Arabidopsis thaliana: one gene and its partner. The protein of the gene in region 1 interacts with the protein of each later gene in a pairwise test. Each region holds a gene or a part of one and is shown in the gene's direction. Other genes may lie near its edges. The genes, in order: AT2G04830 and AT4G14815.

The links.
Region 2: the proteins of AT2G04830 (region 1) and AT4G14815 interact in a protein complementation assay, tested with the Arabidopsis thaliana proteins (one large-scale study listed by BioGRID).

Annotation. Positions count from the first base shown.
Region 1 is NC_003071.7:1,693,050-1,696,387, forward strand, and holds AT2G04830 (F-box only protein (DUF295)), read left to right. Parts: upstream 1-2,305; 5' UTR 2,306-2,381; coding exon 2,382-2,684; 3' UTR 2,685-2,807; downstream 2,808-3,338.
Region 2 is NC_003075.7:8,503,106-8,506,622, forward strand, and holds AT4G14815 (Bifunctional inhibitor/lipid-transfer protein/seed storage 2S albumin superfamily protein), read left to right. Parts: upstream 1-1,937; 5' UTR 1,938-2,016; coding exon 2,017-2,329; intron 2,330-2,413; coding exon 2,414-2,440; intron 2,441-2,524; coding exon 2,525-2,655; 3' UTR 2,656-2,847; downstream 2,848-3,517. Other genes in the region: AT4G14805 (Bifunctional inhibitor/lipid-transfer protein/seed storage 2S albumin superfamily protein), read right to left, coding at 1-94; AT4G14810 (uncharacterized protein), read left to right, coding at 1,040-1,135, 1,240-1,404.

The DNA of each region.
Region 1 (3,338 bases):
AAAGATCAATCTTACATCAATGGAGTTGAAGATCCGTGGCGATAAAGTAAGCTTCCAAGGAGGAAACAAAAACTCAAGAGTATGGATATATGGTCGGGCCTTCTGGTAAGGATTATGTGTCGTATGATGATGAGACAGATTATTGGAAAAACTCGTTAGCTGTTTTGTGGATAAACGAGACAACAAGAGATTATGTTGTTGCTTGGACATTCAAACAAAAGTACTTGTTCTCACACAAGAAAGGAAATGGTTTCTGGTTTAATATGAATCTCAATGGAAAAAATATGGATGTTTTGGATATGGCTTGTGAGAAGAGTAAGCTTTATCTGTTCACAAGTGATTATTACATCAAGAGTTTTTATTTCTCTGAAGGTTCCCCTATAGAGGAAGAAAACCCGTATTCGAATCATCCGTTTATAATTGTGAGCAGAATGAATTCATTAATAGAATGATTTACAATATATATAGGTTCCACATTAGGGCTTAATGCATAACTAATTACACTTATGTCCTTAATCTACACTTCTCCTTTACACACCCCCTCAAGATGGAGGCAGTTCCTTGACTCCAATCTTGTAATTGAGCTCTTGGAATCGTGGCCGATGAAGCGGTTTGGTGAGTGCATCGGCTAATTGATCTTTTGTTGAGAGATGAGAAACGCGAAGAGCTCCAGTCTGAATGTTACCTCTAACAAAGTGATAATCAAGAGCTACATGTTTCATTTTTGAATGGAACACCGGATTGGCGCAAAGATAAGTAGCACCCATGTTGTCACAGTAAACAACTGGTGCCACAGGTAAGGAGATCCCCATTTCTGAGAGGAGAGAACATATCCACTGAAGTTCGGAGGCAGTGTTGGCTACTGCACGGTATTCGGCCTCCGTAGATGACCGCGAGAATCTTCGTTGTTTCTTTGATGACCAAGAAATGGGACTGCCACCAAAGTAAACAATATATGCATTGGTCGAGAGGCCGTCTCCGAGATCTCCTGCCCAATCCGCATCTGAAAACGAATGAACTGTGAGTGGAGCATCAGATCGAAGGAAAATACCATGTGATTTCGTTCCCGCAAGATATCGCAAAACTCGTTTTGCGGCCTGCCAATGTTCATCGGTTGGTTTATGCATGAACTGGGAGAGACGATTCACCACGAAAGCAATGTCTGGGCGAGTGAAAGACAAATATTGAAGACTCCCAATAATCATGCGGTATTCTTTGGCATCGTCGAGAATCGTACCAGAGTGTAGTGAAAGCTTCGGTGTTGTAGCCATTGGCGTAGAGATTGGTTTTGCATCTAGCATGTGCGTCTTAGCCAAAAGATCTGTTATATATTTCCTTTGCATCAAGTGTAGGCCTTTCTTAGTGCGTGTTGCCTCAATACCCAAGAAATAGCTCAATGCACCAAGATCCTTTAAGGAGAATCGATCTGCAAGAGAAACATTAAAGTTTTTGACAAGCGAAGCATCTCCGGTAATGATTATGTCATCGACATACACCAAGACATAAAGATATGAATTTGCCCGCTTGTAAATGAATAACGATGTGTCAGCCAAGGAGTTCGTAAAGCCAGCAGCAAGGAGATAATTTCGGAGTTCTTGATACCATGCCCGAGGCGCCTGTTTTAGACCATAGAGAGCTTTGTTCAAGCGGCAGACATGTGTGGGGCGATCTCTATCAAGGCCAATATGATTTCGGAACAGAGGCATGACTGAGAAGAGTAAGGCCAGTCTCAACAATATGGCGATGCTTTCTCTCCGATATCCCGTTGTGTTCGGGAGTGTGTGGTGGTGTTGTAAGATGAGAGATGCCGTGTGTTGTCAAAAACGATCGCATGGCCACAAATTCACCACCATTATCAGAATATAGGGTGCGGATTCTACACTGAAACCGGTTTTCCACTAATGCCTTGAAAGCAACAAACACTTCTTTGACTTCCGATTTTTGCTTCAGTGGATATAACCATGTATATCTAGTAAAGTGATCGACAATTACCAGATAATACTTGTAGGAATCCATTGACATAATGGGAGAAGACCACACATCGGTATAAAGATATTCAAGAGGTTGAGTGGAGGTAATTTGTGACTTTTATTGATAAGACAATCGGAACACGACCATTGTTTTTGCTGGGAATTTGAAAGTGGTAACGAAAATTGAGAGACAACAGAATTAAGAATTGGTAAAGATGGATGACCAAGCCTAGAATGCCATGACGAGAGGTCAGGAGAATAGCGATTCAGGAGAATAACTTCGTTGGGGAGCCTTCGGAATCCGTTTGGGGGAGGAAAATAGCGATTCAGAGATCAGGAGAAGTACTTATAGTCTTGAGCTTAAAGGAAATAGTGAAAAATGAAGAGAAACTTTTGTTTTACATCTTTAAGATGAATCTTGAGAGTTACAAGTGGGAAAGAGTTTACTCTATTGGAGATGAGATGTTGATTTTTGGTCGTGGGGTTACAGTACCTCTCGCTCTTAAAGATCTTGGTCACGGAATCAAGAGTGATTCAATCTATTTCGTCGACGACGAAGATGTTTGGCCAGATCATAAAGATTGGCCAGATTATAAAGATCATGTATCGAATTGCGGTGTCTTCGATATTGCCACAAGTAAGATCGAATGGCCTAAGAAGATCTATTTTTCCGTTAATAAAACTCAGTGGTTTGTTTGGGGAGTTGCTTATTAGAGAGGAGGCTATGGAGTGTAGGAGTATTCTTATATTTTGTTTTTAATGAATTCAAGTTTCCCTATAATTCTAGTGTTATTCAATCAATTGATTTTTGAATTCTATATATGTATAAATGTTACCATGGTTTTGATGTTAGTGCTCATTCGAAAGAATTTAATAGAAAATTCATTACAAAAAATTATGATCTATGTGGTCTTTCTACTCTTACGTGAAAGTTATAGAGCAGTTCTGGTTATTTAAGGATCCCAGGATACAACCTCTATAAACTGGTTTTGCAACACTCGAAAACACAGTTCTAACAAACATAGTTTCTACGATACTCTCGAGTTTAAGACATAGAGAGGTTGTTGGAGATGTTTTACTTTCAAAATATGTGTGAACGTTCAAGTGGTGCTCTGCTAGTGTCCACAAAAACTTGAACTGTAACCTTCTTCTATAGGTTTGATATACTTAGGTTTTAATTTGTTTCTTCGCAAAATCAAAACCATGTCAAACAAAAATATAGGAGGTAGTGGGTGACTTGATACTTCAACGACTCCTATTTTTAAGGAGTTGAGGAAGCGAAGAAGACCTGTTCTTTAGCAACGTGGAGTACAGAGCGACTTGTTTCCTCTTTTCAAGACCCGACCCGACAACCACCAAAGCTCCAAC
Region 2 (3,517 bases), on another chromosome or scaffold:
ACGAAGGTGCTTGCTGCGTCGCGGTTACGGCGGAGGAGGAGGAGAAGGTGATCGTGAGTATGAGGATGAAAACGCCGGTGATTTTGGTCGCCATTTTTGTTGCTTCAGAGATCTCTCGTCTTCGTGATTAGAGTTAGTTACAGAGATTTCACACTTATGGCTGATTCGTAGCGATAACTGAGATTGTATGACGATGGTGGCGGGAAATAAACAGTTGTGGAGGTTTGATAACGAAGTTACTAATTTGCCCCTATATTGATATTTTCGGGTGATGCTGAGTTGGTAGTGACTGGCCACTAAGGTCCGTCCACGTGGGTGAAGATTAGTTTCGTTTGGGCTTTTAGATTGAATATCAAAGCCCACAGTTTATGTTTTTGACATTTTATAGTTTAGTTGACTTTGAAATTTTATACTTCTGTTTTTTAAAGAGGATAAATAAAAATCTAATGGTTACGGCGGTTGAGGCGAACAAAACCTTCAACAGATCATACCGCTTTTTATTTACCATTCATCAATTATAGTCCGCAGTAGTTCGGACCAAAAAAAAAGAAAAACCGCAGCAAACCGTTTTTATATACAAATAAATTTGGTACGCACCGATTTATTGTCCGCCCAAAAATAAAATGGATTAAACTGCAGAAAAATTAGACCTTTTTGTCCGCCGCATCCATTCAAAGTTTAAGTGGGAAAGTTAATTACTTATTTAGTTGATATTCGTTTGGACGAGGGCTCCCGAACACATCGTAAGCTAAATCGGTGCTGACGAATAACCAGCCCACAACAAATAGGAAATGTATGGAATAGTAATACTATGAATGACCCAATATAGAATACTGGTAATAATATCATCAAAAGAACGTTCTCATGTGCTTCCAAACATACTGAACTCAATATAAATTTAGAGAATCAATATAAATTTAGAGAACATAACAAACATAGACAATTAAAAAAAAGAAAAAACGAACAAACATAGACTTGTGAAACCGTTATAATTATCCATGGAACTGTTGATGCTTGTGAAACTGTAAAATCCACCAAAATGCCAGATATTCACGAAGAAACCTGCTCAACAGCTGCTAGAAAAAGGATAGTGATTGTGATTTATCCGTCCATAACGATCCATGGAGCTGTTGATGTTTGTGAAACGATAAAATCACAATTTCCTCGTAGCTGTTATGCAGATATCTTCGTGAAATATCTGATATCTTGAAGAATTTTTCTTGAAGGCTCTTTGCTTAGTTTGAATATTCGTTGACCGTGGACTCGGTGGTTCGAGTTAAGTTTCGTCAGAAGATGTTTTTTCTTGTCGTGGTTTTGTTTTTCGGTGGTCGTGAAGATCGTGAAGTGTTGGCTAATAATGGTTTACGTATGGTGGAGCATATCGGAATCTCAGTTTCTGAATAAGAACGCAAACTTTACCATATTTATATTGCAAAAGTTGGTCATGCTCTTTATCAAATAGAGAAGTTAGATCATGCAGATTAAGCCACATCCTGACATCCTTCTTTTTGTTTTTTTTTTTTATGCGACATATATCAGTTTCTATTTATTTACGAACTCCCAAAAAGACTCCAACACAAATTAAACCAATAAACTCAAACAACCATATTAAAATGAACAATTCACAAGTAAGTGTTTGGTGTTGCTTATAATTTTAATGGTTTCTACAAATTTATCTACGTATCTTATTTTTTTTCTTGTTTTTTTCATTGAAAAGGTCAGCAATCAAATTTCAATCAGGTGAAACTCAAAAACTTTATATAATCACAAAAAATAATTCAACAAACATATCCTTAAACCAAACGTAATCATATTCTTTCACAAACTTCACCATAAGGTGTTGCAAAAGTTGGTCATGCAAATTGAGCCACATCCTTATTTTCGTCTTTTTCTGCGGCCTCAACTTCTTATTTATTTACGTAACCACAAAAGAAAAGACTCCAACACAAACCATTAAGCGATCAAACAACTAAATTAAAAAAAAATCTTGAGAGATTCTTGGAACACAAGAAAAACATGAAACCTAGAATGTGTTTAATCTTGTTTATTGCTTTAATGAGAGTAATGTCGATTGTTTCTGCTCAGTCGAGTTGCACAAATGTTCTAATCAGCATGGCGCCGTGTCTCAGCTTCATCACTCAAAACACTTCTCTCCCGTCTCAACAATGTTGTAACCAGTTGGCTCATGTTGTCCGGTATTCTTCTGAGTGTTTGTGTCAGGTTCTCGATGGTGGAGGTTCTCAGCTTGGGATCAATGTTAATGAGACACAAGCTCTTGCTTTGCCTAAAGCTTGTCATGTTGAAACTCCTCCTGCTAGTCGCTGCCATAGTAAAATAAACTCACTTTCCATGCATTAGATTCATATTTTTGCTATCTTTTTTCTCTCACACATCAGAACTTTATTATTTTCAGGTGGTTCTTCGGTTAATTCACATTCAGGTAAAGGACTAACTTATAAATAGAACCTAATCTAATCATATCTATTTTGACATTATCCTTTTTTGACATTATCTCTATGAACAGAACATGGAAATGGATCAAAAACAGTCCCAAGAGAAAAGTCATCATCTGATGGTTCTATTAAGTTCTCATTCCCTCTTCTCGCCATCCTATTCACAGCTTCTTACATTACATTAATCTACGCAAAATACTGACTTATTTTACCAATAAAGCTTTTGGCCTCTTTGAAGAACATATTCATTTTTAGTCTCTATTAAATCGCGGTGTATTGTGCTGAAGTATTTTGTGCTCTAAATCCCTACTTTCTAGGTGATATTGGTTTGTAGTCCAAAGAGTGTGATTGTATATCTTTGATTTATGCAATAAACATTATTTTCTAGCTAGGACATATTTGAAATACATGATATATATATGTATTGTTATCACTAACATATGTCTAAACATCACTTAAAATTTAGAGGGAGTACTATTGTTATCACTAACACATGTATTGTAGAAGGAGTACGATTGCTATCACAAACACATGTATTGTTGCCATTTTAGTCACAGTTTCTAAATATGAGCTTTGTCTGTTACCCTAAATGTTATTGCTCAATGTTCACCATAAACTTTTGCGCAGAGTGTCGCGTCTCTATCCACTTTTTCTTTTGCCGGTAATTTTACGAAGGGAATTATCGCCTTTCTCAAAAATTTCTCTATTTTTAAGTTGCATACTTGTAAATCGTTTTGGTATTTCTCTTTTAATATTCCAGAACATATGTTGTGAAAGCTATAGACAAACATTTATATGCTGGCTGAAATCTGGAAGACAGTTTCTAGCAAGAGTCAAACAAATGTCTAGAGAAGTCAAAGCAACAATGATAATGGAAATTAACTAACACCTACTTTTCTTAATCAAACTAGTGATTCACTAATTTAAATGTGAGATTGACAGAAAAATTCTGCAAACTTTATTAAATTTAGTGATTCTTATAGACTTGTTTAGAAGACAAGTCATCAGTTTTTTTATAGAATGTAGTATTGTTTTGTGATAATGAATTTGTAGTTTTTGTTCGC